Ovis aries: one gene and its partners. Each later gene encodes a partner of the first gene's protein in a complex. Links are inferred from orthologs where the notes say so. Each region holds a gene or a part of one and is shown in the gene's direction. Other genes may lie near its edges. The genes, in order: TFDP1, MYBL2, LIN54, E2F5, RBL1 and LIN52.

Region 1 (4,264 bases):
TCCCTCACGAGCCCCGCATTGGGTGGCCTGGGGGCTCCCAAGCCCTGCAGGACGTCCGTGAAGCAGCTCCTGCTCTCCGACCCCCAACGCCAGCGGCTGCCCCGCCGACCCCTGCTGCCCACCTGTCGGCGTGGTGGTCCGGCCGGGCGGAGGGGAGGGTTGCGTCCGGGAGGCGGGGCGGGGTCCCGCCGGGAGGCGGGGCGCGGGAGCCGGCCCCCTTTGGCCCGTCCGTCTCCTGGAGGCCGTGTCCCTTCCCGGCCCTGCAGTGCCGTCTTCGCCCCTCTCCGGAGGGTGCCCAGCCCGGAGCCATCGGCCCTGTCTCAGCGCCCTGTGGGCTCTGCTTCGTGACGTTTGCCTCGTTTTCTTCCTCTTTGCAGAAATGGCTCAGGGGTCGCTCGGCGGTGTGTTTGTCGCGTCGGCAGTGTCGACGTCTAACGGCACGCGGCTGTCTGCCAGGTAACTGCGCCCCCAGAGCCGCGCGGCCACCCTCCCCGGCGGGAAGCCGGGGTCTCATGTGAGCGGCCTCCGTCCTGCTTGGAGCCGGGCTCCCTGCGCAGCGGACACCAGGGCCCCAGGGTCGTCCGGAGCTCGTGCTCTGGGCAGAGAAGCTGTTTGTTCTGATGAGAGTTTCCCTGTAAAGACCAGGAGGGGTACATGGATTTTATTTTCTTTTGAAGTAATTCAGTGCCGCGGCGGCAAAACCGCCTGAACTGCGTGGCCGGCAGCCTCAGTCAGGCTGTTTCTCCCTCTGTTTTTTCCCTTTTCTTTCAACGCTTGAAGTCGCAGTGCACACGTGGTGGTGCCCGTTGCCCCTTCTTATTTTTCCGTGTACTGCGTGCATTGCTCTACGTGTTGAAGGAACTTTCATCATTTCAGTCAAAGTGTGTTTGAGCCGTGACCTCACAGGCCCCCGGAGCAGGGCTGGGTCAGGCCTCGGAGTTCCTCCTGGTTTTTAAGATAAGCATAAGGTGATTTCCGTGTGAGTATGGACAGAACAGTGGTCTTGGGTGTCTCCTGTTGGGCCTCATACGTGTCTATATCAACTCTGAACAGTAAAGGATGTCTTGTTTCTCAAACACATGAAATCAGCAGCATGCAGGTCCAACAAAACCGGGTTGGCTAGTAAACCCTGTGTGCACCTGCCTCGAAGGCTCGGCAGCCCCCGTGCTGTGTGGCCTCCACGTGACCCCAGCTCGGCCTCGGTGCGCCCGAGGGAGGGGCAGGCTCCCTGTGAGGGTCCCAGCGCCCAGCCCCTCGCGGGGTGCCTGCACCTGGTTGCGTTTTGACAGAGGTTGGTTTGGTTTTAAATTCTGAATCTGCCACTGTGCGTGGCCCAGTCTGTAAAATCTGAACACTGGTTATTCCGGGAGGTGGAATTTGGGTATTTTCTAAAGTTTCATCTTTAAGAAATTCTATTAATGAACTTTCGGGCTCTTGTCAGTGTTTTTAACAAGATGAAAGCCGGTACCATTTCGGAAGGAAAGCTGACACTGGGGCCCCGGTTCTGAGCCGCCCTCTCTGGTCGTGCACTCGGGGGGTTCCTGGCTGCAGGCAGCCGCAGCTTCAGCCTGTTTTCCGCTCTTTCAGATGTGGTCGCTAGATGGGGGTTTCCCAGATACGGGGTTACTTTGTCATAGAGCGTGATACCTCCTAGGTTTTGTTGGGCAGTGTCGGTAAACACCAGTAAAAGGTATTAAGACACCTGCGTGCGGTTTTCTCCTAAAAGGGAAATAGGCAGAGTGTCGGAAAACCGTGTGCACGTGTGTGAATGCACACACGTGCCTCACACGGCCCACTCCTTTCCTCCCTGGAGGGCGTGGCGGGCAGAGTTTGGAGGAGGGTCTCGGGGTCTCGGTTGGTGTGCCGGGGCTTCTGTTCCTGGCGCGCTGAGAAACAGGAGCCCGCTCAAGCCGCTCGCTCTGTCGTCCTGGGCCAGGGTGACGGTGAGCTCAGCCTGGGAGAGGCGGGTTCCGTGCTGCCCGCTGTGTGGCCCCTGACGTCCCTGTCCTTGCAGCGACCTGGCCAACGGCGCGGACGGGGCGCTGGCCACGAGCTCCAGTGGGTCGCAGTACAGCGGGTCCCGGGTGGAGACGCCGGTGTCATGCGTCGGCGAGGACGACGAGGATGACGAGGACTTCAACGAGAACGAGGAGGAAGACTGAGCCGCCGCCCGCGGCCAGGAGCGCGCGGGGGGAGACCTGCGTTCCGCGCCCTCCTCCCAGAAGAGCTTGCCGACCCCCGGGCTCAGGGCGCTTCTGACGAGCCGCTCACCGTGCTCCGGGGGTCCCGACGAGCCGCCTGAGTTTGACACCGACGCACGACCTCTACTCTTGCGGATTTTGTGTTTTCGTTTGCTGTCTTTAAGTTCAGAGTCCATCTCGCCCCCTCAGAGTTTGCCGAGTTTGCCGGAGAAGCTGTGCTGCCTTCCCGCCGCCCGGCAGGCCCAGCGCAGCGCCGGGCCCAGCGCAGCGCCCGGGGGCACCGTGGGCCCGGCGGCGCCCGGCTCTGCGTCTCGCCGTGTGACTATGGCTTCGTCCCCTTAAATTATATTGACTGCGCGGCCCCATCGGGCTCACACTGTGGGTTTGCCCTGGGTTGCAGCAGATGGATTGCAAGGCCCCTGTTTGTTTTCTGTTTGTTTTGTTTACTGCCACGCTGGCGCAGCTGTGGGAACTGAGGCTTGGAGGGTTTATTGCTTATGGTAAGATTCGCCTGATTTCTTACAGGCAGCGTTTGGAGACTTTTTATTATATAGTTGTTTACATACTTATAAGTCTATCACTTAAGACATGTACTGAAACAAATGTTGTATTTGTTTCGTAAGCATCTTCCTGTAATCTATTATAAAGTTGAAATTAAATATAGAGAATGTTTTAACAGTTTTTTAACTCAAAATTTGTCAATCATTTTTAATAGTTCTTTTTTTATAAAAAGAAAAAAGAAATTTCAGGACAGGCAGTAGTCTCTTTTAAAATGTATTCACCAAGAACCATTAACGGCACAGTTGCTGTTAGCTGCCTGTTCTAAAATAATAGTCTTTTTATTGGAACACAAATAAACTTTTCTGTAATATTTTGTGGAATAAAGAGACTTTAATTGTTTGACTTGTTTAACTTGGCACTGTTAGTTTTTATTAATAAAGTGCGCATGGGCATTTTAAACAAGCTGCGTGTCCCTGTGATTCGCGATGCTCTCTGGAGCTCGTTTGCCCCCACCAGGCCCTTCTCTGCAGGGAAGGGGTGCGGGCCCTGCGGTGGATGCAGGACCCGCCACGGCCCCAGCCTCTCCTGCACTGCCCCGGGGGCGGGTGAGGAACGTGGTCCCTAGGACATGGCCGAAGTGGTGCCTCCTCTCTGTGGCTGGTGGTGGGGAGAGCGTCTGTTCCTTGTCTTATTTTTGGAAGAACTGTACTCATCACCTTGGGGCCTCCCAGGTGGCCCAGTGGTAAAGAATCCGCCTTCAATGCAGGAGACATGGGTTCTGTCTATGGGTCAGGAAGATCCCCTGGAGGATAAAATGGCAACCCACTCCAGTGTTTTTGCCTAGAGAATTCCATGGACAGAGGAGCCTGGTGGGCTGCAGTCCATGTGGTCGTAAAAAAGATGTGACCTAAATGTAATCAGTCCTGAACATTGACTGGAAGGACTGATGCTGAAGCTGAAGCTCCAATACTCTGGCCGCCTGATGTGAAGAACGGACTCATTTGAAAAGACCCCGATGCTGGGAGGGATTGGGGGCAGGAAGAGAAGGGGACGACAGAGGATGAGATGGCTGGATGGCATCACCGACTCAATGGACATGGGTTTGAGTAAGCTCTATGAGTTGGTGATGGAAAGAGGCCTGGTGTGCTGCAGTCCATGGGGTCGCAGAGAGTAGGACACGACTGAGCGTCTGGACTGAACTGAGCTGAGACACAACCTAGGATAGATGAATATTACCACTACCTTTAACATTTGAATCCTCGTGAAACATGACCTTTGCAGGCACATCCCCAAAAGGTCAGAAGCATGGGGAAGCTGGGGCGGAGGGACGGGGCTGATGCCCTCGCAGGTGATGGGCCTGCAGTAAGGTGGCCCGCCCAGCCGTCCTCAACTTCCTCCTTGATCACAGGAGCTGAGACAGAGCTTAAGGCTTTGACTTTCAGAAAGAGAGTGAGATGGTAAGATGGGCAAGGCCAGTGCTCTGTTCAGGCTGCCTGAAGTCACGAGCGAAGGTTCAGTACAAGGTGTGGACTCAAGCGGTCCTGTCCCCCAGACACGAGCGG
Region 2 (4,867 bases), on another chromosome or scaffold:
TGGTGCTCAGGAGGGACGGCTGTGTTCCACCTTCAGGCCTGTACAGGTGGCTTACCTGCTTCTGTGGAGGTGCTTTCACAATAAGTTTTCTTCCTTGTATCATCATGACCCTTGAATTCCAGGTAGAGTTGCTTAACTGCTCTTCGGCTCGTTACATTTGCTGGGTGGGGGAGAAGCATTGCTATTTATATTTCAGGAGTCAAGCTGTAGATCAGGGATCCACTCAGGAATTTTAGTTCTCATAATGATAGGTGATTTCAGATAAGCTGTATGGATCCCTTGGTCAGAAATCTGTCTTTCAACAAGTGATCTAAAATTTAACATAGACGGGTTTCTTGAGAAACGATTCTCCTGTCAAGTCACTAAGCTCTTAAACAGACAGCTGGCACCACAAAAGGAGTAGCTGCTGCTTCTCCGGAGAGACGGGGAGGGGTGTGGTCTTTCTTGGTCCTCCTCGCCTGCCTCTCCTGCTGGGGTTGCAGTCTGGCCACAGGCCACCTTGTTTTATGGAAAATCCTAGTGACGGCAACATCTTAGCCATTCTTCCATCCATTCGGGTCTCCTGGACTCCCTCAGGCTCTTCCTATTCTTTGCTGTTTTTGAGGACGGCCCTTCCTCTCTGTCCCCGGAACTCCCCTTGCAGATGGGGAGGTGGGTGGGTGGGCGGGCAGATGGGATGGGAAGAGACCACGTCTGGGGGCTGCCTTTCTGCCGCTGAGGCCAAAGGTCAGTTGGGGGTGTGGGAGTCAGGAGCAGCCCACAGCCGAGCCCCCCAGTGCCATCGCCCAGCCTCCTTCTCCGTGCCTGGCAGGTTTGTAACCCCAGATCAGAAGTACTCCATGGACAACACTCCCCACACGCCGACCCCGTTCAAGAACGCCCTTGAGAAGTACGGACCACTAAAGCCCCTGGTAGGTGGTTCGGCCAGTCCTCCAGCCGTTTATGATCACTCGCCCTGTCCTGAGATCCCATTAGCATCTCCCGACTGCCTTGAGAAGTTGCGATTCCTTAGTTTGATAAACAGGGCCCCGTGTTAAAATGAGTTACCAGCTCTCCAGATGTCTCCAGAGCAACCACCATGCAGGCGGTCCTGGCTGGTGCTGGAGCTACAGCGGCATCCCAGTGGACCTGGGGGTGGTGGAGGCCGACGTCCGAAGTGACCGAATACTCAGCTCGTGGCTGTGCCGGGCAGAACGTGGGCAGGCTTTGGGATGGAGAAGGACGTACGTGGGTGCTGCGAGCTGGCTGAGGAAAGCGGTGAATTGCTTGTCAAACCCAAGGCTGTTGACCAGCTGCCTGTCAGTGGGCTGGAAGCAGCTGGGCAGTGTGCAGACATCTCCTGGGTTGCTTTCCCCGCAGTGTGAGGACGGCCCTTCTCCCCCAGCTCCTAGTTCATGAGATGGTCCTGCTTTACCCCAGGGCAAAAGAGAGGGCTGGCGCCCCGGGTTTTCTGAAGCAGGTCGTTTCTGAGAACCCAGCCGCAGGTGGGAGAAAGGCGGGTCACGGAGAAGAATCCCTGCAGTGACCTCCCCTCCCAGCTCACCACGTGGGGCGCAGGTGGGGCTGTGGTCTCCCCGTCCTGGCTTGGAGCTGGCGGAGTTGCCCTGGGCCAGCCACAGTCAGTCCGGCCCTTTCCTGACTTGGACTCAGCTGCCAGATACTGAAATGTCTGTGTGCTCTCGGGACACATCCAAGAGGGCAAGTCCGACCTTGGCAGCGATAATTCAAGTACACGGGGGCTTTTAGAGTGACTTCTCCGGTTTCACTGTGCCCTACATCCCCTGGCCTCTGCCACCTGAGCGCCCAGGCCCAAGAAAGGGATGTGGAACCAACACCTCTGTTAGCATGGGGCCAAGGCAGGGAAGAGTTGGACTCTGAGTGCGTCCGGGTCCTCTGTTGGTGTGGGGCCGAGGCGGGGAGGAGCTGGGCTCTGAGTGTGTCCAGGCTCTGAGCTCACAGCTGTGTGGCCCTGGGCTGTGCTCTCAGCCTCTGTCTACCCAGCGGAGGATGCCAGCTGGTTCCTTGGCCTGGATGAGGGTGGCTGTGATGAACTGGAGTGCTCCCAGCCCTCAGGGAGCTGAGGCCAGTGTCCCAGGCAGGACGGTTAATGGCCATGGACACTGTGTGTGAGGCCAGCATCCCGGCTCCAGGCTGCCTCCGGCATCACCCAGGGCAGCGGAGGTGCGGCCGGGTCTGCCCTGCCGCCCCCATGAGCAGGCTCAGCGCGAGTCCTCTGGCCTGGGGGCAGAGCCTCACCCTGGTCATCCCCGCCCACAGCCCCAGACGCCCCACCTGGAGGAGGACTTGAAGGAGGTGCTACGCTCTGAGGCCGGCATCGAGCTCATCATCGAGGATGAAGTGAGGCCCGAGAAGCAGAAGAGGAAGGCCGGGGTAAGTGGCTGGCCGGGCAGGGGGCAGCTGGGGAATGCACCGGGGGTGGCGGGGCAGGGGGACAGGGGGGCGGCCGGGGAACAGGCAGCAGAGCAGGGGGCGGCTGGGGAACAGGCACGGGGGCGGGGGGCGGCCGTCCATTCCTACAGCCTGGGGGTCCATGAAACTGGCCGGCGCAGCTGCCTGCCATCCTTCCTTCTCCCCTTGAACTGGTGCCTCAGTTATTCCGCGTTGTTTGGACCCTCCTGAAGTGGGCTCTGGGCCAGGCGGGGTGGGTAGAGCAGTGATTAAGACCCAGAGGGGGTCGCTTCTGGAGTTCAGTGGGCAGAAATGGCAAACACCCCCAGTGACTCAGCAGCATTCGGGGACAGAAAAGGCCCAAAGAGGATTTCAGGGGGCATCCTTCAGACGAGCCGCCAGCCGGCTGTCGGCGCAGAGTGAGGAGGTGGGGCCAGCCAGTTCAGGTGAGGTGGGAGCGGGTGGGGACACTGCTCCGGATGGCGGGGTGCAGAGGCCGGGCCACGCTGGACAGACCTGTCCCGCCCCCGGCCCACGTGGTTTCCTGACCGCAGGCGGCTCTGTGTCTCCTGTTTTGAAGCCCCTTTGTTCCCAGGGCTCTCCTCTAGGGAGAAGGGAAGGCGGGAGTGGGCCAGAGTGGTGGGTGGCCAGGCGGGGAGGGGACCCTCCAGCTGGGCCCCCTGGTGTGTGGGCAGCTGTGTCTGCAGGTGGTTCCCAGCAGGGGTAGCAGCTGTTGGGGGCACAGGGCTGAGTTCGGGGACAGTTGTCAGTCTCAGAGGCCCTCCCTGGGGTCAGAGCTGCCCCTGATCTGCTTATAGGAGGCGCGGGGCTTGGGGGCTGGGCATTCCCATAACAGCCTGTGTCCCACGGGGTTATGTGTCTCTGTGTAGCACCCCGGCTGGTGGGTGTTCTAGTGGTAACTTGGCTGTGTGGGTGTTTAGTGTGGTAGAGACTTGGGCTGCGCTTGGTCCCCTTGGGGATGAGGTTGGGTGGAGGTGGCCTTGGTGTCCTCCATACCTGGTGAGCATCTGGCAGGACAGGCTGCCCTGTGGACAGAGTCTACGATGGGGCCAGTGTCCTGGGCCCCCACGGCTCCCCCAGAAGACCCTCTCCAGCCGGGCCTGCTGCAGGGCTCTCCCTGCACCAGGGCCTGGTTTCTGGACCAGGGCAGCCGGGACCAGTGTCATCAGGCACTGAGGGTGATGGGAATTCAGGCGTGTGCCCTAACCACCACCTCTCCCCAGATGCGGCGAAGCCCCATTAAGAAAGTCCGCAAGTCCCTGGCTCTCGACATCGTGGATGAGGACGTGAAGCTGATGATGTCCACGCTGCCCAAGGTTGGTCAGGGGTCTGGGAGAGAAGCCGTCCTGTGAGGCCACTCCCTACTCCCCACCCAGCTGCAGGAGGCTGAGAGTATGGAGTCCCCTTGGGGGGCCTGGGCCTCTGGAGCCCTTCAGCCTGGAGAGCCCTGGGGGTGGAGTCGGTGGGGCTTCCCTGTGCCGGGCTCAGCGGGGAGGAAGGGGGCAGGTGGCACTGGGCATTCCCCACTGGTCGACCCAGGCGGCCTTGCTCTGGTCCTTACAGAAGGCTCGGTCGGCAAGCACTGATGGCGAGCACTTGTTGGGCGTGTGTGTTTTCTGAGTCCCCAGCGCCTTCCCTTCTATTGCACTGCTAGGGAGGACCCGGAGATGATCAGTGAGGTGCCTTGGGGCCCTGCCAGGTGATCGAGGCACCTCTCCCCTGGCATGGATGCCGCCCTATTCCCAGGCCAACCTCCAGAGGGGGCTACTGCTTCCACAGAGCCTGGGCCCCAGAAACCATGCCGGGCAGTCGATCCCTTGCAGCAGGCAGTGAGGTGAGCTTGTATCTCACTGGTGGCCGGTGAGGGCTGTGGAAAGGCCACGAGACAGATGACTGCCTGGCAGCTCCTACAGGTCCGCCTGCCACTCAAACTCCTGGCAGAGAAAGCTCCATCTAATGAGGCATCCACGCCAGGCGGGAACTTTGTGCACTCCAGACAGACCCTTGGGGAGTGAAATAACTAGTGGAAAGAAAAAAAGTCAGGTCAGGTGGTTAAATGCAGAGGAGGTGGAGTGGAGGGCCTGGTCTCTGGCGTCTCTTGAGCTGCCTGTGCCTCAGGTTCTTGCCTGTAACAAGGATGCTGAGCCCAGCAGGCTGCTTCAAGGGTAAAGGCCTGTCTGGGAGGCTGCCCAGGCCTGTGGCAAAATGCTGAGCCTCTGACTTGGTTTTGCTTTCAGCCGACCAGCATCCTCGCAGCGGGCTCCTCGGGCCTCACCCCGTCGGGCAGCAGAGAGGACAGCAGCCTGCTGAACGAGGGCTTCCTGCAGGCCAAGCCCGAGAAGCCAGCAGCCCCGAAGCCCCGGGGCCACTTTGCAACCCCTGCCCCCGTGAGTGCTGCCCCTCAGGGCCTCGCTCTGCGCCCTCCACACCCTAGGGC
Region 3 (5,499 bases), on another chromosome or scaffold:
CTTACAATAATAGCATCCAATTACTGCCTCCCCCTAACCCCGCCCCTCTGCAAGGTAACCTGGCCACTAGAGGTAGATTGCATTTCCTCTAGCCTTGAATCCAGCCTGGTCTTGGGACTTACTCTGACCAGTGCTTGAGACCAGATGTTGTGAGACTTCCAAGGGTAGCCTTAAGAGGACTTGCCAGCTTCTTCTTTCACCCCCTTGAAACCTTCCTAAGGCCCTGAATGAGTGACAGTGTGCAGAAAGAGAGACCCAGCCAACAGTGACATGTGTATGCAAGTCCATTTTAGCCCTACCAACCCCAGCTGAGCTGCCAGATGACTGCACTTGCATGACAAGACCAGCAAAACGATCTACTTGATCTAAAGCATATTGAGAAATTACACTTCTTTTACACCACTAAGTTTTTTATTTGTTACAGAGCAGTAAATAACTGACGCACCCAATAAGGCAGATACTATCGTTTATCTGCAATTCAGAGCTGAGGAAGTAAATGCTTAGCTTAAGTTTCAGAATTCTGCAAATACGTGAAAACTATATCTCTTCTGATAACTAACACACTTATCTTTTTTTTAACAAAACAAAAAGGAAAGCAAACATGGAAAAAAAAATGTGAGTTTTACTTTCATCCAAATCTATCAAAATTACATGCAAAAAGAATTGAGCAGTGAGACATATTCAATTTATTTCCAACCCAGGGATTAAGTCAATACGTACTTACCAGCTTCTTAATAATAATAAGGAGGACAATCCTGTGGCTCTAAGTGTCAGGTACTGTTCTAGGTGCATATACACACTCTATTTTGTCCTCAGACAGAATAATTATCTTATAATTATCCCATCTTCCTGAGAGGGAAATTGCCCCACAAAGTAGTTAAGCCCAATAGCACTGCTAAATTTCCCAATGATATACTGGATTACATTTACTAGCAGACAAAATACATTACAGCCTACATAAAACAAAGTCAATGTTTCAATGGCCAGGTTAAAACAGGTGTAGCCAGTTAAAATGGATCAACCTGATCTTAGCTGTCAAATGTAAATAGGATCAATTTGAGAAGCACACTTGAAACAGAATGCATGTTAATTACCAAAAAAAAATTTAGTGCTGTGAAATCTACAAAGAGGAAACAGACATCTATCTATCTCCCTGTCTATCTAGATGTAATTAACACTGTTGAATAACTGTCTGCAGGGCAGGCACAAATCACAAATTTAAGTTGGCGTGGACTTAACCCTTCTACATAAATTCCGACAAAATTTCTAATCATGTTTAAAATTCTGCAAACATCACTACTCTAGACATCCTGACCCACGTTGTGGTGACATTCCTCCATGCCCTCCTTCAGAGTTGGTGGCAGGGAGAGAGAGTACCCAAAACACAACCCACAGAAGATGGTTCAAGTAGTTCTGGACGTCATGATAGCGGCCATACCTGAGCAGCCCCCGTCAGCCTCAAGAAGCCATCTCCGCGGAAAACTCTAAACCAAGGTTCCAGAATACAAATGGCCCTCAGTCAAAGAGAAAAAACGGGCGCAGCAAAGGCAAACAGAGGCCAGAATTCGGTGTGAGAGGCCGGCCAGCGAAGGGAAGGGGCGCCAGGGTAGGTTTAGAAGGCCATGGGCGCAGTCGTCCCACAGACCGCGCTTCCAGAATCTTTAGAGAACGGAAAGGATGCCATCAAGGGCTGAAAAAGTTGACAGCCACTCCAGATCTATGGTCCTGAGCGCTCCCTGCACAAGGTCCCCTCCAGTTTTCTGCTGCTCCCAACATCTGCCTCCACGACCGACCTCAGGCCCGCCCCCTTCATCTTCAGGCCCGCTCCTAGCTTCACATCCGAAAGCCGCCGTCAATCCAAGGAGAACAAGTCTCTGGCTTGCCTCTCCACCTCCCAGGCTCCCGGGAAATACTCACTTGCCCGCCAGATCTTTATGAGAGCCGCTCGAATTCATGAGCTGGGCCAAATCCTGTCGCACGGCTGCCGCCATCTTTCTCCCAGCTCGGCGGAGGCTGCGGGGCCTCTCGCGGCCGAAAGAAACCGAGTGTAGTCCTCCAGAGTGCGGCTAGAGGGAACCCGAGATGCCACAGAGTAGCGCCTGTGTAGGCCAGACCGCCGAGCCTGCGTTAGGTCCGCCCCCAAGGTTGATTGACGCGAAGCTCCACTCCTCAAATCCTAGGCCCGCCCGGGCTTCTCTTACAGGCTCGGGCTCACGCGCTCCCACTTCGGATTGGCGGATGAACTCCAAGGGACTGTGTCGCTTGTGCAACCCCAGTAAGTGCCCGATTCGCAAAACTTCGGGGTTTTCGTCAAGTTCCGTATCTCATATATGTAGTTTACCATCCCTTGTTCTTTAAGGCTGCACTTAAACTACCCGTGGTAAAGAACGAGGTTTTTTGTTTGTTTGTTTACAATTCACTACAGACCGGTACTTTTGTAAAGTACAATAAAAAATGTCCCCATTCCGTTCCTACTCTGCGTCTGTATATAGATTGATCATACATCTCAGTTTATCCAGGACAGTGCCATTTTCCATCTGTCGTCCTGGAGTAATTGTTAATAACATGCCCTTTCACTCTGGAAACTGTTCCATTTAGATGACAAATTATATTATAGCCTTACTTTGATACGTAATTGTATTTATGTATTTATATAGGAGTGCAAATTTCTGCAGCCTTGCCTACAAAGGATGTTAAACTTGAATTTCTGCCATTTTATATGTGAAAAAGAACATGTTCCTTATTTGGGGAAGGGGAAAGAAAAGTCCAGAACAAAGAAATCCTTTGAGAAAGTACTGTGGCAATTTGTTGTCGTTGTTCCGTCTCTCAGTCGTGTCCAAAACTTTGTGACCCCATGGACTGCAGCAAGCCAGGCTTTCCTGTCCTTCACTATCAGTTCAGATGTCCCTCCATAGTTAAAAACTTAGTGAGATCTCCATGCCTGGTAACTCTGAGTCTGGATATTTAGTTTCCTTTTGCCTAGGACAAAGGAAAGGATGGTTTTGGAGCGTCAACCAGCAGTCTCCACTACCGTTTGTCCCTCTGATCATAATACAGTATCTGTGTGTATCCTTCCTACAGTAGGATACTCAACCCTAAAGAAGAGAGTTCAAGTTCCCACTCAGTTTCTGTATCAGCTTAAAATCCAGGATGTCTGATAATGTACAACCCTCTCCAAAAGTTTGGATGTAATTGTTCATGGTCCAGACACATATACACTATAGAAGAAATTATCAGCCTCAGGCCCAAACATGTAATACAAAACAATAGAGGAGCAAGGACAGAAGCAATAGGATAACTACAGTTCCAGAAAAGTAAGAGTGTGAAACACAGTAGTTACTTGTCCACAGCAATGGTAGAATCCTGCCCAGGAATTATGAACACCCACTACCGTTGTTATATCTGCATGGTGGTGAGACACCATGGTTAGTACTGCATTTTGAGAGGATAATTGCATTGTTCATTGTATTTGGTGGATCCCAGCTTTGCCTTCTCGGAGAAGGCAATGGCACCCCACTCCAGTACTCTTGCCTGGCAAATCCACTGGACGGAGGAGCCTGGTAGGCAACAGTCCACGAGCAGTCTCTAAGAGTCGGACACGACTGAGCAACTTCACTTTCACTTTTCACTTTCATGCATTGGAGAAGGAAATGGCAACCCACTCCGGTGTTCTTGCCTGGAGAATCCCAGGGACGGGGGAGCCTGGTGGGCTGCCGTCTATGGGGTCGCACAGAGTTGGACACGACTGAAGCAACTTAGCAGCAGCAGCAGCTTTGCCTTCTAAATACAAGTTAACTGGATGTTGGAGGGTATTCCCTCTCTGCTGCTGCTGCTGCTAAATTACTTCAGTCGTGTCCTACTCTGTGTGACCCCAGAGATGGCAGCCCACCAGGCTCCCCCATCCCTGGGATTCTCCAGGCAAGAACACTGGAGTGGGTTGCCATTTCCTTCTCCAATGCATGAAAGTGAAAAGTGAAAGTGAAGTCGCTCAGTCGTGTCCGACTCCCAGTGACCCCATGGACTGCAGCCCACCAGGCTCCTCCGTCCAAGGGATTTGCCAGGCAAGAGTACTGAAGTGGGTTGCCATTGCCTTCTCCATTCCCTCTCTAGAGGAACGCTTTAGGACTTGAACAGTTGAGGGCATTTGTAGTCCCGGTTTTTCAGTGGGATTTTTTTTAACATAACTTTATTGAATATTCAGTAAACTCTGCTTCCTTTACAGACAGTTTCAGGTGCCAATAAACATACTCAAAGTCGTTTTTGAAGTGAGGTGTTAATTGCTCAGTCATGTCCAGCTCTTTGCGATCCCATGGACTGTAGCCCACGGGGCTCCTCTGTCCATGGTATTCTCTAGGCAAGAATACTAGAGTGGGTTGCCATTTCCTCCTCCACGGGATCTTCCCGACTCAGGGACTGAACCCAGGTCTCTTGCATGGTAGGCAAATTCTTTAATGTCTGAGCCACCAAGGGAGCTCCTAAAGGTTTTTTTTAGAAGTAGTCATTAAATCTGCCCTATATCCTGACTTCCATATGCAACCCATTCTTAACATCTTAATGATGATATCCTTGAAATCATCTGAAAGAATAAGCTTAAGTGAGAAGAGAACTCTGTTAATAGTTTGATTTTTGCTTCAGTGTATCTTTCCTTTCTGTTGTTTTTTGTTTATGTGTGTTTGCCAAAAAAAAAATCACATTGGGCTCTGAGAAATCTCTAAGCCAAGTTTTCTCTCCTGTAATTTAGGGTTACACAAGTCGTCAACTTTTTCAACTTAGTGAAGCTCCAGAATTTCCAGACATTCTGTTCTCTATCTACCCTGACTTCAAACTTTACATGTAGTACCTTATGCCTGCTTGCTCAGTTACCCCTGACTCTTTGCGGCCCCATGGGCTGTAGCTCTCCAGGCTCCTCCTTGCCCTGGAATTTTCCAGGCAAGAAATACTGGAGTGGGGTTTCATTTACTACTCTAGGGGATCTTTCTAACCCAGTGATTGAACTTGAATCTCTTGTGTCTCTGGAACTGGCAGGCAGATTCTTTCCCACTAGCGCCACCTGGGAAACTCTTGTAATACCTTGCTGAAAAATAAAAGCAGCAGCCACATACATAAAGTAGCTCTTTTCAAAATATCTCCACTAGACCTACAAGCTAGTGAGGGAGGTTCTCTGCCTTTCTAGTTATTGTAGGCAACAGTTTTACTAAAACTTTTTGATGTGACAAAGCCTCCCTTTCCAGACTATTACGCATGCTCAACTATTACGCTCAACTATTACGCATGTAGTATTCTAAGAGAATACGACATAGTTTTAGGTTTGGTTATAGCAGTGAGAAAAACAATTGGGTGGCAATGAGAATTTTTCCCTCCCTTATTTCAGTTGCTTAACAAGAAACTAGCTGGGCATCTCTGAGTTATGGGAAGTGCACAAATCTTAGTTCTTTTAATTAGGTCAAACCTTGGGTCCCAGTCCCAACTTAACTGAGTCAAAACTGTCATGTTGACAAA
Region 4 (4,867 bases), on another chromosome or scaffold:
ACGGATTATCCCCGCTGCCTCCTCAGTGGTTTCCTTGCTTCCACCCAGAGCAGCCCCAGGGAACCTTTTAAAACCTTGAGCCAAGTTCCCGAGCGCTCAGAGCTTTCCAGTGGCTTTCTGTCTCGGAGGGGGGGGAAAGCCGGTCTTCACAATGGCTGCTGCCTTTTCTTCTTGCCATCTCTGTCTCTTTCTCCCGCCTCCTCCCTCCCCGCCTCCCGCTCCCCCCCAACTATTCCTCCTGTGCTCCCCCGCATCTCTTCCAGGTGTTCCCGGGGTCACTGTCTTCAGTTCAGACTCACTTTATCAGGGAGCCCTTCTCTGAAAAGTTTGTCAAATACAGTACCGGCCTAAATGCGTTCCTCCTAAGAGAACACCTACGTTAATACACTAGTCACTGCCTCCCTCTTTTGAGGACAGGGGCATTGTTCTGTCACCACTGTATCCTCAAGACCCAGAACAAGCCTGGCACCCCGTGGGAGCTGAAGAAATGAATGAAGTTGGAGATGACTCATGGTATGGGTTTATGAATACAGAGGTCTTGGATTACTTAATAAAATCAAGAATTTAATGCAACTTTTTAAAACCCTATGTGAAAAATATGATAGGTCCATATCCATGCCAACTCTAACCCTTGATCCCTTGTTTCAACCTGTATTTGATGATGAGGCTGTTAGCAACATTTAAGTATAAATTACCTAGAGGACAGTATGCTAAGATTATCCTGCATAGCCCCCACAATTCAGCATGTTATTATCCCATTTTATGAAAAGGAAATGAGGTTTAAAGAGCCTGAAGCCAGTTGAAGACAGGAAGTGGCAGGGCTGGGCTGCATCTGGAGCTGGTGTGCCCAGCTCCAGAACCAGACTTCAGGTGATGCAGCTGCTAAAATAAAAGCCTCCTGGAGATCCTCTTTAAGTTTGGTCATTTGTATGTTTATATGCTTTAATAGCTTTTTAAGAAATGATACTTCGTTTTGGGAATCAGGGATTTGATTTTGTAATTGTTCAGTCACTCAGTCGTGTCTGACTCCTTGTGACCCCATGGACTGCAGCACGCCAGGCTTCCTTGTCCATTACCAACTCCCAGAGTTGTTAATTGTTAAGCAGTGATAAATAATAATGGAGAAGGAAATGGCAACCCACTCCAGTCTTCTTGCCTAGGAAATCCCATGGACAGAGGAGCCTTGCAGGGTATAGTCCATGGGGTCACAAAGAGTTGGACATGACTTAGTGCCTGAACAACAACAAATAAACTGTAAATGAGATAACTTTTTACAAATTTTGAACTAAACTTGAGATCTCATGGCTCTTTGCCTAGTGACCTAGAATAGCTCTGTGACCTGGTTCATGCCTGGTGAGCTGTTGCTAAGGTTGTAATGGCTTTGGTGTGTGAGTCCATAGCTACGGATGACGCAGAACTGGGAGTGCTCTGGCTACTTCTCAAGAGGGAAATGAGACATGAATTCACAACTTAAGATTCTTATAGTTAGCTTTGCGGCAGACGATTACTCTTGAGAAAGACAGCCTCGCACTCAGAACAGAAACTCTGCTGGTAGATGAGACAGGGAGGGAACCGCCGAGTACAGTGAAGAGGGTATAGGTGAAACTGGGGCGAGCCCTCTTCGTTTTCTCGTCTTCTAGAAGAGATGAGCCACTTAGTCAGAGCTGGGGATTCAAACAGCCTCATGCTCTGCTTCTTCCTTCTTTCCCTCTGCCACATCCAGTCACCCTTCTGGTCTGCTCTCTGAGGCACGAATCCCCTGCTGAAGACCTCAGAGGTTGGCAGCAGGCACTTGGTGTTTCTGGTGATACAACCACCAGATCTCACTTAGAGGTTCCAGATGCCTGCAGAGTGAGCCGTTGTTGGTCACACTTGCTCCCTGTGGAAGGAAACAAAATGCTGCCCTGGTTTTTGTAGGAGGAACTTTATAGAATGAAGCAGTTAGTGACGCCCTGGGGTAGCCAGTAACTAATCATCTGAGACTAAATTCTGTAGATAATGTACTGAATATTGTCAGTAAGGATATACATGTATTTTTTTGTTACTACCGTGAATCTTAAATGTGACTCCGCATTCAAAATAGTCTACTGAATCTACTCTGAAAAAAGAGCCTTCAGGTAACCTCTTCTCTGAGGTTCTGTTTATACTGCTGGGGAACAAATGTCAGAAATGTGAGTGAGAACTAATTAGAGGCACTATAACAGCATTCCTCAATTCATTCGTGACATGGTAGCATGAAATATTTTTGTTGGTCTTACCTAATGTAAGTGACACTACAAAGCTTTTGTATTTGCTAGTACCACAACCTTATGCAATAGGTTTTTATTTCTTGTCAATTTTATGCTTTGTTTTGGGATGGCATGATTCATTCCTCTATTTTTATTGAATTTAGAAAATGCAGATTGTGTATTTCAAGGTATTATACAATGTGTGTATAATTTAGAATTTTCTCCCAAGTATCTTGACTTCATTATTTAAAAATCGCTGAGATATAATTTTTCAGTTTCAAAAAAAAAAAAAGGTAACTTAGCTGTCTTTAAACAAGACTGTGTTTATGAACAGAGAAATAAGATAGGAAGTGACAGGGGCAGACAATTAGCAGCGCCTCTTAAGGATTAGCCCATAAGGTGATATGAAGTATTCTCATTGTGTTCTTTTATTTTTGTGGGCTTTGTGGCATGACCTTTTCATTTTTTTCCTCCGTTCCAACATCTGCTGGCTTTTAAATTGAATCATTTCTTTGGTATTTTCAGTGTTTGAGGGTTGCTTTGCACATACCCTGCTATTGTTCCCAAGCCACTGACCGGGTCAAATTTAAGACTGGGCTCTCATGCTGTGACCTTAATAACTAAAGCCTTTTGGGCCTGAAAATATGAATGGTAATTTATTTCTTTGTTCACCTCCCCACCCCCTTTTTTTAAACAGGCTGCAGATACTTTGGCTGTGAGGCAAAAAAGAAGAATTTATGATATCACCAATGTCTTGGAAGGAATTGACTTAATTGAAAAAAAGTCAAAAAACAGTATACAATGGAAGTAAGTTACAGACTGCTCTAGTCTACCTTTTTCTTCTCAGTGCTCTGTGAACGCTGACCTTTCTGCTGTGTATGTCTCCTGAGTCCTCTGTCCCAGCCGTCTACACCGGTCACACGGCCCCTCGCGTGTCCCTGGCACGCCTCTGGGCTTCTGTCGTCCTCCTGTGTGACATGGGATGGCCCGTGGCTCACTCCGCTGTTTAATTCGCACTCTCAAAGTTCAAGTCTTCCTCCAGCTGCTCACTTGGTACACACTGCATCCTGCTCTGTATCATTGATCCTTCTTTACCTGGTTGTTCTATGTACTCACCTAATATAAACTCCTTGAAAACAGGAACTAAGTCTCATACATACAAGAATATGTACTTTGTAAATAATGATTAGTTGAAATGCATGTTGTCATTTGTTAACTGTTGTATGTTTGACTGTAACAAACATGTTCTTTTCCACAAATTTGCCCCCCTTATCCTTCACGTTTCAGTTTATTTTAGCCAAAAATCCCAACAAAATACTAAAAGATGATAATCTGTTTCACCCGCATCTCAGTCCATGTAATGAGACTACCAGTGCGACCACTCGACTCCAGCATCCTGTGGTGCCTCAGTCACCAGTCACCCTTCTAGATGACAAAGAGCACACTAGGACAGATTGAGAATTTTGTAATTTGGGTGTTTAAGTTTTCTAAAGATTTTAATGGTTAATGGTTTTAGAAGAGTGTAAAGATTTTTGTTTTAAATATATGCAGTGAGTTTTACAATTTTTACTATAAAAATTAAGTGATGTTAACCTGGGTCTAATACTGGGGATATTAATTTTCATGTGTTTTTAAGAGGTGTAGGTGCTGGCTGTAACACTAAAGAAGTCATAGATAGATTAAGATATCTCAAAGCCGAAATTGAAGATCTAGAACTGAAGGAGAGAGAACTTGATCAGCAGAAGTTGTGGCTGCAGCAAAGCATCAAAAATGTGATGGACGACTCCATTAATAATAGATATCCTTTTAAATAGAAGTCCTTTTACATCTTTAAATACATAGATATATATTTATATATTCTTTCAGTCTGAACATCAGTTACTTTATTCTAGTGTTTTCAGAGACTTCAGTTCTGCAAGGGATAATAACATTTTAATTTTGTAACATTCTTCTAATAATTTATATGAATATTTTTAAATTTTTACTTTTGTAAGTCATATAGTACATCTCTTAGCAAGCTGATGTGTCTGTTGCAAGTTCCCCTATCTTTGGTCTACCCATTGGCAGGATACAGTACGCTAGCTAGTGTGTGCTTACAGGGAGTCTGCGAATTTGGAGGGCGTTGTTAAATCATTGTTCTGAAGCTAAATCATTCAGTGTTTCAAAGTGGTTAAAAGTTCAGCAACTCTTCAAAGTTTTTTAAAAAATTAATTTTGGTTTGAAAATGAAATATCACACAGGCCTGCAATCAGTCCAGGATACATTCTGCCTCATATTAACCCAAAGATAGTACTTTAGTAGAGCGTAGGGTCCCAAAGCTGGTATATCTACCATATTTGGGGAAAAACATTAGTGATGTACTCCATGTGTCCCTTATGACCACTGAGTTCTTTCAGATATGTGACTGTTGATTTGTGACTTACCCGTACTCATATGGAACATTTTAACTACATTTATCTTGTACCACCTCTCATGAACTTTTGACTGTGTATATAATTTATTTTTCACGTTGTCTTGTCTTTGGTGAAAAAGTCCATGATGTCATTTGTTATTTCCTTTCTAGAATCAGAACTCCTTAACAGTTTGATAATAATGGGGGTTTTCAGCTGTGCCTTGTGGAGCCCCGAGATTCCAAAAAG
Region 5 (4,867 bases), on another chromosome or scaffold:
CTTGGGTGTTATACCCAAACAATTCGTTAATCAAGGCGTCTAAAAGTATTCAACCTTAAGCTTACCTGCCTCAAGCAGTTAAGACTGCTTCACTGCTTTAGGGCAGGAACACTAGGTCTTAGATTTATTAGTAGCTACCCATTTCTGCTCACCCCTTTTGGATTATTGCAGGAAATCTTTATTAGTCATTTTTATTCTGCTAGAGTCTGGTCTTAAAGAGGATCTGCACTACAGTATTGTGTTATGCTATGAGATTTGTGGCTAGTTCTTAATTTCATGTAAAGCTCAGCAATGAAGTCATAAAGTGAATCTAGCTTCAGTAGCTCAAGTCTAGTGTTGAATTCTCAAATGTCACCTTTTTTGTAGCATTGTAAATTGAAATATCTGCTAAGATAGAGAGCCATACTTAGACTGTGTTAAAGATTAGGGTAAATAATTCCCCCAATTTCTACCTCACAAAACTGACAATCTCCTTTATGTTGAACACGATAGGTATTAGTTTTTATATGCGTGATTCTTTTGCCATCGTTCTACTTTGTTCTTTCCTTTTCTCTGCCAAAGTGATTAAAAAAGAAACAAAATGATAGGAACTTCCACATCATCAAGGCCATGACTGGTGTTATAATATTGAAAAAGCTAATGCTGAGAAATTGAGAACGTTTTCAGTAATATTAGATTTGGGGTGTAGATGAGAGATCTATATTTAGAGTAATATCAATTCACCATGTTACACAGGACTGAGAGTAAGGAATTTTATACCCATTTTTGCAACCAACTAAGCTTTCTGACCTTGGGCAAATATCCTCACTTCTCTCTCGCCTGTTAATACAGTATGAAAATTAGACCAGATAATCCTAAGGTCTCTTTTGAGTCTAGAATTCAAGTGTTCTAACGAAATATATCCATTTTGCTGTTTTATCTTTTGCCTGCCAGGGAGAAGTTATACACTGGTTGGCGTGTTCGTTGTATGTTGCTTGCCGCAAAAGCATCATTCCCACAGTTGGCAAGGGTATCATGGAAGGAAATTGCGTTTCACTTACCAGAATACTACGTTCAGCTAAACTAAGGTAAAGCACTTTTTCAAACATTACTTTATAAATCCTGAATTTAACTTTAGAATTTAATTTCTCTTCATTTTAAATCATTTAGCTTCATCCCATTCTAAGTTTTTTTTTTACAGTTCTCACATTTTTTCCCCAGTTCTCACATTCTTTCTCTGACTTTCTTCCTCAAATTCTAACTTCAACCAAAGGCCCCTGTTCTAAATCTTTTCTTTTAATTGAGTTACAATTTATAAGTCATATAATTTACTTACTTGCACAATTCAGTGATTTGGGGTATTTTTTACAGAGTTAAGTAACTATCACCACAGGCATTACGGGCACAGAGATTTTGTTTTTGGTTTTTTTTTTTTTTTTGGCTGCACCATGCAGCAGGTGGGATCTTTGTTCCCCAATCAGGGATTGAACTTGTGCCCCCTGCATTGGAAGCATGGAGTCTTAACTTCTGGACTGCCAAGAATGTTACTAAATCTCTTTATCTATGATTTTTTTCATTAATATTTTAACTTTGAGAATAATTTGAAGCTTTCAGAAAAGTTGCAAAAATAAGAAAATTACAAAGATCATCCATACACCCTTGACCTAGACTCACCTTTTAGTGACATTTTACTCCATTTGTTTTATCATTTAATCTTTTTCCCTTAAATAATGTATTTTCCTCAACTACTTCAATTTAAGTAGCATCCATTATAGCCCTATACCCCTAAATATTTCAGTGTGTGTTTCCTTAAATAACTATAGTACAGTTATCCATGTCAACAAAATTAAATCTTGATACAATAATTTTCTATAACATCTCTATTCTAGTGTTATTACTTGATGCAGTAAAATTTTTTTCTTTTTTTCGTCTATTCTGGGTCCTTATTGCCGCTCATCGGCTTCTCTAGTTGCAGCACAGGGGCCAGTGCATGTGGCCTCAGTAGTTGCAGTGTGCGGGCTTAGTTGCCTTATGGCATGTGGGATCTTAGTTCCCCAACCAGGGATCAAACCCGTCCCCTGCATTTGGAAGGTGGATTCTTCACCACTGGACCACCAGGGAAGTCACTAATTTTAAGTGACTATGTAGATCTTTATAGATTTGGGAAAATATGCAGCAAATATTGCTAAATCATACTGCAAAATGCTGAAGAAGTATAGATTCATACATATACCTGTAAAACTAGAAGATTTTTATTGAATATTTACCTGTGTGCCAGATATTATGTGCTAATAGTTTACATATCTTTATTCATTTAATCCTCACAGTAATCCTATCAAATAAATCTCATTTTAAAGATGAGGAAGCCAAGTCACCACGAGGTTAAATTATATCTAGTGGTTATATACCTAAGTGGCAGAGCCTCTGAAGTCCATGCTGTGTTACTTATGTTATCAGTAAACAAATATACATTAGTGTGTCTTCTTTTGAATTGTATCTTTAATTCAGCTTCAGTTTACAAAAAAAATTAGCCTAAGCAATTTCCAACTTAAAAAGAAAGTTTCATGTGGGAATTCCCTGTCTGTCCAGTGGTTAGGGCTATACACTCACTACAAAAGACCTGGGTTTAATCCCTGGTCAGGGAACTAAGATCCTGTAAGGCATGAGGTGCTGCCAAAAAAAACCCACAAGTTTTGTGTAAATATTTGTTCTGCTCTTAATAGTGTTAAAAATTAGTATCTATTTTATAATTTGAATTTTAAATTCTTAATAAAGCAGTTGTCTGAGTCTCATTAAGTAGTGAGAAGTAATTTTTCCTTATTTTTTTACAAGTTTTTTAATAACTTGTGATTTAAATCAAGATTATTTTCATTCACTTATTATTTTCATATTTATTAGAACCTGAATGAAAAATTACTTTCCATAATTTTAATAGAAACATTGATATTCATTTTTTACAAAGCAGTTTTCCTTTTTGCCTTTTGAGTACCCTTAAAATTAGATAGTGTGCCACTATTTGGACATATGTTCCATATTATCATCTTTTCTCTGTACTTGGTTTTTGCTGGCAGGGTGAGTCACAGCTCCCAGTAAGCCATGCAGTCAGGAGGGTAAACAGCCAATAGATTTACAACTATTCTGTCTCACAGCCATTCTGTTTTTCACTTTCAGTAGAGTATTTGTTAAATTATGTGAGACAGTCAACACTTTTTTTTTTTTTTTAATAAAATAGGCTTTGTGTTAGATAATTTTACCCAACTGTAGGCTAATGTAAGCACCTGAGCATGTTTAAGGTAGGCTAGGCTAAGTTGTGATGTTCAGTAGGTTTAGGTATATTAAATGCATTTTCAGCTTATATTTTCAACTTACAGTAGGGTTACAGGTTATATCCTGTAACCCCATTTGTAAATTGAGGAAGCTCTGTACACACATAAATAACATAGAGAGAGGTGGATGACAAAGCAAATATGCAAAATGCAAAATTGGTGAATATTGGTGAATAAAGAAGTTCTTACATACAATTCTTGCAACTTTTCTGTAAGTTTGATGCTATTTCAAAGTAAAAAGTTTAAAGGATAAAAGGGAATGTTCAGATGCATTTATGGCACATCCATATAGTGGAATAAAATCCAGCTCTTAACATTATGGAAGGACGTTCATGTGAGCTGAGAGGAAATGATCTCCAAAATGACAGGGAAAAAGAGAAGTATAGAATATCTCTTGTAGGTAGTATGATTTCATTTGAGTGCGGAAAAAGTATTTAAGTAGGTATGTATTCATAAATACCCTAAAAAGTTCTGCAAGGATAAATAAGAAACTAGTAACAATATAATTGTGACTTTCTCTGCCTCAGCAGTAAAGAATCTACTTGCAGTGTAGGAGATCCAGGTTCACTCCCTGGATGGGGAAGGTATAATTAGTCACTAAGGCAAAGTTGGTTGCTTTAGTGGAAGAAAACTGGGAGGGAGGTGATGGACAAGGAGAGATACTTTCCATCATGTATCCTTCAGTACCTTTGAAATTTTGTAAATATGTACATTACTTATTAAAAGAAAAAGAAAACTGTCATAGGATAGCATGATATCTATCTTTGTATAAATATTTTTGCCTATATCTTTGACTCTCTCCTTAGATTCTCATAAAAATCAATTTTTGGATGAAAAAATTGAGTGTTTTTAAGACTTTATATTCATGTTGCCAAGTTACCTTTAGAAAGGTAATTAGTAATACTTCTAGCACATTTCACTGTATCCTTTTTGGAGTAGCATTTTTTTTTAAACAGCCCTATTGAGATATAATCCACATATCTAGTTAAAGTATATAGCTCAACAGTTTTTAATATAGTCACATACTGACTACAATTTTAGAACATTTTCATCACCCCAAAAAAGAAACCTCATACTCATTAGCATTCACATGTTATACCTCCACTAAATCCCCTTCCTCTGGCAACCACTAATTCACTTTCTGTCTTTTTGCCTTTCCTGGACATTTCCTATAAACAGAATCATACAATATATGATATTTCTTTGTGATTGGCTTCTTTAACTTAGCATAATGTTTTTAAGGTTCATCCATGTTGTAGCATATATCAGCATTTTATTCCTTTCTATGACTGAATAATTTTCCATTGCATGGATATAAACATTTTATTACTTTTTTGGTTGATGGACATTTGAGTTGTTTCTACTTTGGGCTCTTATGAATAATGTTGCTATGAATGTGTACAGCTTTTTATGTGGACGTATTTCTCATTTCTCTTAGATGTATATATAAGAATTGTTGTGTCATGTGGTAACTCTGGTTAACCTTTTGAGGAGCTATCAAGCTGTTTTTCAAAATGACTATACTAGTCATTCTATGAAGATTCCAATTTATCCACATCTTG
Region 6 (5,569 bases), on another chromosome or scaffold:
CAATGCAGAAGTTTCTGCAAATGAATCAGAAAAAAGTGCTTATTTCCAAAATAAAGCACTTGGGGAAGGAGATTCTTTTCCTTGATACAAAGGACAATATAGTTTTTTAAGTCTCTCAATGACTTGTGATGGTGGAAAGGCAAAGGGAAAAAAGCCAATTTAATAAAAGATTTCCAGGAGAAGTTGGTAATGGAAAATATAGGGTGGAAATTTTGTTTTCTGACTACAAAACAAAACCTAGAAAAACAGAACCAGGATTACAGCAAGAAATATGAGTTAGGACAGATCATTTGACAAATCCTTCCAACCCATTCACACTGTCCCATTAAATAGCATATTTAAACAGGAACCTTTGCAGACTCTGCTAAGAATCTTAAAAATGCATAGTCTCTGGAGTAGAACTCACTGAACCTGATAAATACTAATGTTATCTATAAGCCCAGAAATACAGAGGAAGAAGTTCCCAAGCTGAACATGAGTAAGAAAAACAAAGCTGTTTCTTGCAGGTTCGATAATGTTGCCTCATAATATTATAAGTCCTTGCTAGGCTTGAACAACGGGGAAAGGCTATGAACAGCTGGAAACAGCTACAGGCCTCAGGCATGTAGCTCCTGTAGCTCAACCACTTGTCCTTAGGCTAACTTCAGAGAAGACCTGAACACCCCCACCCCACTCCAACCCCAGGGGCAGAGCTGAGTTGGGGCTTCGCTGCTAGCTCAGACGGTAAAGAATCCACCTGCAATGCGGCAGACCTGGGTTCGATCTCTGCATTGGGAAGATCCCCTGGAAGAGGGCATGGCAACCCACTCCAGTATTCTTGCCTGGAAAATCCCCATGGACAAAGGGGCCTGGCAGGCTACAGTCCATGGGATAGGACAGTGGAACACTGCTGAGCGACTAAGCACAGCACAGCACAAGCTGACTCTGGGGTGGGAACTTGGAACTTACACTTCTTGTCTTCCTTGGTTCCCATTTTCTATCACCTATTTTAGAGATGTTTAATTCTTTGCACGTGCCTGGAACAAACTGGGATCATTAACTATGTGTCCTTATTCAACGCCAACAAAACACTGTAACTCTGCCAGAAAGTTAAACAAAGTCTTGGCAAGCAAAGGCACAACAGTCCACAGCCTGTGGAACATGCAAAGAGCCGTAGCTGGGGAAAACAGCTCAGCAAATGACTGCTTTTGGGAAAACGGAGTGAACATTCCGAGAAGGGGATTCAAAGTTCATTCACTGACCCTCGCCCCTCGTGTGCTTCCTGCCCCTCGCCCCCCGGCCTTTACCTCGGATTGCAAACCGTGAAGAAGGGTGGGGGAGGGGGACAATTTGGAGGTTCTCGGCCCAATGCTAAGAGAGGTGACCAGAAGGGGAGTTTCTAGGGCAGAGAGGTGGCTGGTGCAGAGGTGAAAGGGAAGACGTTGGGCAGACCGACAGAGGTGGGGCAAGAGAGTGTCGGCAGGGATCGGGCAAGCCTCGAAGAGGAGAGTGGGCCAGAGCCATAAAAGGGGGGAGGCTCAAGAATAAAAGGGCTAGGGCTGAATCCAACGAAGGCGGGTACTGAGTGAGGTGTGGGACAGGGCCGCACAGGTCCGATGGGCACAGAGAAGGGTCAGCCATGAAGGGGATGGCTCAGAGAGCGGATGGAAAGGACGAATTTCGAGCTTCGCAACCCCTTGGCGCTACCCTCACTCGCCTGGAGGATTCGGGCCCGCAATGCCGCCGCCGCCGCCGCCGCCACCACCGCCATGGCTCTGGGTTGCCTCTTCTCAGCCCCCGCACCTCTACGGTCTGAGACTGTCCAGAAGCTCTACTGCGGCCAGGCCTCGCCCCTCCATCCTGCCGCACCTCCTCACTGGCGGAAAGGACAATCTCCCCTAGCCAATTACTCGCCCTAACGCCTGACTCCGCCCCTCAGTCCCAGCCCTGGGGGAATATGATTGGTCAGAAGTGATAGCGTTCTCGCCCTGCGCTACCTCAACAAATTCTGTTGGCGGAGGGGTAGGGAAGGCACGGAGCGACTCGCGATGTTCTATATCGAGCACAGGAGGAAGACGCCCCCGAACCCGGAACTGCGATTGGCCAAAGGCACAACCGCGGCCCCGCCCACTCACTGAGGGAAGTAAATAAGTTCATGCAAGAATTTTTGCAGTAGCTCCGCCTCATCCACTGCGCGAGGGGAGATGTGGCTAGCACCGGGGGGCGGGCCTATGTAAAGATTGTCCCTATAGGGGCGGGGAGACGAACCCGGCTCCCGGGTTTGAGGGCAGGGTTTCTCTTTGGGGGCGTGGCTTACGGATCCAAGCTTTCCCGCCGACAGTTGGCCACGTCACGTGACATGGGTTGGAAGATGGCGTCTCCCACGGACGGTAAGAACCGGCTTAGAGACCTTTCGCCTGCTACATCCTTCTGCGCTCTCCTGGGAACTTCCGTTTCCATCTACCACTCGAATTTACATTTCTTTCATGGGCTCCTATCCTTTCCCTTCCACTTCTTTTCTAAGCGATGTGGCTGCTTCTTAAGCTCGCCGGTTCTTCACAGCGGCTCCAGAGGTGCCTGGTTTCTTCTCAGTGTACCAGGCAGATGGAGGAGGGCGCCCGCTAGGGACCTTTTCTGGGCAAAAGGACGAGGGTCGCCCTTGTCCTCCTTTAGCCTCATTTGGGTGAGACTGATGGCCGAGGAAGAGATACTGATGAGGAAAGGAGGCGCCTTAGTGTAGCTTTCTCCTCCGGGCGCCTCACTGAAAAAGGTCAGTTCTTTTCTCTTTGAGCATCTGGAACGATTTTTTGATTCTCTTAAGCGCTAGCTAGGGTTAGTGGCTGACCTCATCCTGGGATTGAACCACAAGAGAAAAGTAATTCTCTCCCGTCTCCTTAGATTGGGACCGTTGCCCTGGCAGCTACAGAAGCAGGAGACCCTCTCGGGTCCCTAACTGTGAGAGTCCCGAGGAAAATAGAACTGAGCTTTTTAGCGTAGTCATGTACACGTCTCTACCTCTCTTGTTTCTGCTTTATGAATTGTTTCTTAAGGCTGAGTGATTGAACGATTTCTGCTTATATGTTGTCGAAGATGCAACTCATCTCAGATAGCAATTGAGTGGTTTTGGTATACTCCCAGGCTTTTGCTCTCCGTTCTGTTTTAGGATTAAAGTTTTGCAGTCATTTCTGAACTGTTTTTGCTTCGACTATTCCATCTCCACGTCCATTTCACTGATATGTAGTTTTCTCTCCTTTTGTGTTTGGAAGGAATCTTGAAAGTTCATTTCAGGAATGAGGAACTTGTGGCCAGAAAAGCTATATTGAGATCCTGCTTTATGAAAGGCGTTTTACTAGGTGCATTGGGAGAGAAGAAGATTAATCAAACATGTAAACACTTTGGCAGTTTCAGGTCTCATTTAAATGTCACCTCCCAGAGAGGCTTTCACAGAGCACAGGAGCTGAGCTTGCCCCTCTTCACCACTCACTTTCTCAGTACCTTCATAGACAGAACAGTTTATTATGTCAAGTTTGCCCCTTTCAGTCCAGATTGAAAATTCCAAGTCTGTTTCATTGGTAGTTGGGTCTCAGGGCTTAACACAGTGCCTCGCCTACTGGCAAGCAGTAGGTCTTCAATTCATGTTTATTGAAAGAATGATTAGATATATGCTTAAATAATATTTTAAGGTTTTTGAGCATGGGTACATACTGTATGGGGCTCCCCTGGTGGCTCAGCAGTAAAGAATCTGCCTGCCAACGCAGGAGACATGGGTCCCTGAGTCAGGAAGATCCCCTGGAGAAGGAGATGGCAACACGCTCCAGTATTCTTGCCTGGGAGATCCCATGGACAGAGGAGCCTGGCAGGCTACCATCCATGGGGTCGCAAAGAGTTGGACATGATTTAGCTACTAAACAACGACAAGCAACCATATACTGTATAAGAAATTATGGGTATTGAAAGTCAAAAGAGATTCTTGATCCTGCCTGAGTGCTCTCTTGTTAAAAATGAAATGTCTTTTTCTTTTTTTTGGCCAGGAAAAAAATAAAGAGCATTTAAAAAGTTAGCCAAGGGAATGTGGAGTTGTTATTTATTTAATGGGTATAGACTTTCAGATAGGGAACATGAAAAAGTTGTAGCAATGGATGGTGATGATGGTTGCAAAGCGGTGTAAATGTACTTAATGCCCCTGAACTGTACACTTAATACTGGCTAAGATGGTATGTTTTATGTATATTTTACCACAGTTGGAAAAAAATCAACCAAGTGATAGAAGTAATGGCTATGAAAATTTTTAGTTTATAACTAAGTTGTCTTTATATTTTTGTTCCTTATATTTGATTTTCCCTGTCTTCTCTCAATTTCTTTTCCTTCCTTTGGCCAGGAAGAATATTGGAAATTTTTTTTTTTTCCTTTTGCCTTTTAACCATGTCCACTCTCACTCTATTTGCACACTTGACTTTAAAAGTTTTCATGCTCATCTTTTGCATAGCTTTATCCTTTTCCCTCTAATCTTTTTAATCTGACAAAAACAGGTTGAGCACTGTGAACTTAAATTTTGCATCTAAATAAATGTCTTATCCTAAAATATACTACTGCCTAGCTCTCTCACTTCTATTTTTAGAGTTCCACCTGTTTCTGTCTATAAGATTTAATTAAAATTATCTTGCTATGAAAAAAAGTTTAGATCTTTCCACTCTTTCTCTTTTCAATGCTTAATTTGCTGGGACCTCCTTGAAAAGAAGAAAATTGAAATCTAAAGTCATTTGTTACTTAATGTATGAGAATAACACAGTAGAGTCAAATTATACCCTAGACTGTGGTATCATAAGGTCATGCTTGTTGGTTATTGAATCGTACCCTCAATAAGTTTATTTTTGTTATGCTTGAACTTTCCATAAGTAGCATTCCTTGGAAGTTTGAAAATTGGGATTTTGTGTTTCACATATCTAGTTAAGGCAGTTTTTTAGAGTTTAGTTCTTTACCAATTAGAATGCCAATGGAAATTTCCTTAGAGTAAATAGATTGGTTCAGCTAACGTCCCTCTTCTCACAGCAGTACAGTAAAAAGGAAAGAAGAATAAAGGCAAAAATTTTTCTCCTTTTGATGAACACACTTAGGATTTACTCTTAACTTTCCTGTCTGTCATATAGCAGTGTTAGCTATAGTCATCATTACACCCCTAATACTTACTTACCTTGTAACCTAAAGTTTGTACCTTTTGACCACTTTCCTCTAATTACCCCCCTCGTTACCCCCACTTCTCATAACCATGAGTATGATCTCTTTTTCTGTGAGTTTGCCTGTTTGCTTATTTTAGATTGCACTCATAAGTGAGGTTGTATTTTATTTGTTTTATTTCATTTATCATAATGCCTTCAGCGTCCATATAGGTTGTCACAAATGACAGGATTTCCTCATTTATATATGGCTGAATAATATTCCATTTGTGTGTGTGTGTGTGTGTGTGTGTGTGTGTGTATTTTCAAACTTTATCCATCAGTGAACAGTTAGGTTGTTCCCATGTCTTGGCTATTGTAGATAATCCTGATGTGAACTTGGGAGTTCCTTAGACTATTGGGAGGAAATTTTGGTT

What was found.
Region 2: TFDP1 (region 1) and MYBL2 share a complex: the UniProt entries of both Homo sapiens proteins name them as parts of the DREAM complex. The link is inferred for Ovis aries from reciprocal best matches to the Homo sapiens genes TFDP1 and MYBL2.
Region 3: TFDP1 (region 1) and LIN54 share a complex: the UniProt entries of both Homo sapiens proteins name them as parts of the DREAM complex. The link is inferred for Ovis aries from reciprocal best matches to the Homo sapiens genes TFDP1 and LIN54.
Region 4: the proteins of TFDP1 (region 1) and E2F5 are in contact, whole or in part, in a crystal structure (PDB 5TUV), measured with the Homo sapiens proteins. The link is inferred for Ovis aries from reciprocal best matches to the Homo sapiens genes TFDP1 and E2F5. Residues at the interface, in NP_009042.1 of Homo sapiens: Glu201, Cys202, Leu205, Glu208, Arg209, Arg212, Leu213, Arg215, Ile216, Lys219, Gln220, Leu223, Leu226, Ile227, Gln230, Phe233, Leu236, Val237, Arg239, Asn240, Arg241, Arg249, Pro253, Ser255, Val256, Ile257, His258, Leu259, Pro260, Phe261; in NP_001942.2 of Homo sapiens: Val126, Arg129, Leu130, Lys134, Glu136, Ile137, Leu140, Glu141, Glu144, Leu147, Asp148, Gln150, Lys151, Leu154, Gln155, Ser157, Ile158, Val161, Met162, Ile166, Asn167, Asn168, Arg169, Phe170, Ser171, Tyr172, Val173, Thr174, His175, Asp177.
Region 5: the proteins of TFDP1 (region 1) and RBL1 are in contact, whole or in part, in a crystal structure (PDB 5TUV), measured with the Homo sapiens proteins. The link is inferred for Ovis aries from reciprocal best matches to the Homo sapiens genes TFDP1 and RBL1. Residues at the interface, in NP_009042.1 of Homo sapiens: Pro260, Phe261, Ile262, Thr290, Phe291, Glu292, Ile293, His294, Asp295, Ile297, Glu298; in NP_002886.2 of Homo sapiens: Tyr1004, Phe1006, Asn1007, Ser1011, Leu1014, Ile1017, Asn1018, Ile1021.
Region 6: TFDP1 (region 1) and LIN52 share a complex: the UniProt entries of both Homo sapiens proteins name them as parts of the DREAM complex. The link is inferred for Ovis aries from reciprocal best matches to the Homo sapiens genes TFDP1 and LIN52.

Annotation. Positions count from the first base shown.
Region 1 is NC_056063.1:86,069,116-86,073,379, forward strand, and holds the end of TFDP1 (transcription factor Dp-1), read left to right. Parts: intron 1-377; coding exon 378-456; intron 457-2,014; coding exon 2,015-2,162; 3' UTR 2,163-3,113; downstream 3,114-4,264. UniProt on the Homo sapiens protein: Can stimulate E2F-dependent transcription.
Region 2 is NC_056066.1:72,218,336-72,223,202, forward strand, and holds part of MYBL2 (myb-related protein B), read left to right. Parts: intron 1-811; coding exon 812-911; intron 912-2,277; coding exon 2,278-2,391; intron 2,392-3,653; coding exon 3,654-3,746; intron 3,747-4,667; coding exon 4,668-4,817; intron 4,818-4,867. UniProt on the Homo sapiens protein: Transcription factor involved in the regulation of cell survival, proliferation, and differentiation. Transactivates the expression of the CLU gene.
Region 3 is NC_056059.1:98,538,489-98,543,987, reverse strand, and holds the start of LIN54 (protein lin-54 homolog), read left to right. Parts: upstream 1-2,228; 5' UTR 2,229-2,238; coding exon 2,239-2,275; intron 2,276-5,499. Other genes in the region: COPS4 (COP9 signalosome complex subunit 4), read right to left, coding at 1,918-1,991. UniProt on the Homo sapiens protein: Component of the DREAM complex, a multiprotein complex that can both act as a transcription activator or repressor depending on the context. In G0 phase, the complex binds to more than 800 promoters and is required for repression of E2F target genes.
Region 4 is NC_056062.1:90,368,856-90,373,722, reverse strand, and holds part of E2F5 (transcription factor E2F5), read left to right. Parts: intron 1-2,925; coding exon 2,926-3,035; intron 3,036-3,864; coding exon 3,865-4,028; intron 4,029-4,867.
Region 5 is NC_056066.1:66,052,585-66,057,451, reverse strand, and holds part of RBL1 (retinoblastoma-like protein 1), read left to right. Parts: intron 1-933; coding exon 934-1,067; intron 1,068-4,867. UniProt on the Homo sapiens protein: Key regulator of entry into cell division. Directly involved in heterochromatin formation by maintaining overall chromatin structure and, in particular, that of constitutive heterochromatin by stabilizing histone methylation.
Region 6 is NC_056060.1:83,522,545-83,528,113, forward strand, and holds the start of LIN52 (protein lin-52 homolog), read left to right. Parts: upstream 1-2,331; 5' UTR 2,332-2,338; coding exon 2,339-2,369; intron 2,370-5,569. Other genes in the region: ALDH6A1 (methylmalonate-semialdehyde dehydrogenase [acylating], mitochondrial), read right to left, coding at 1,697-1,750.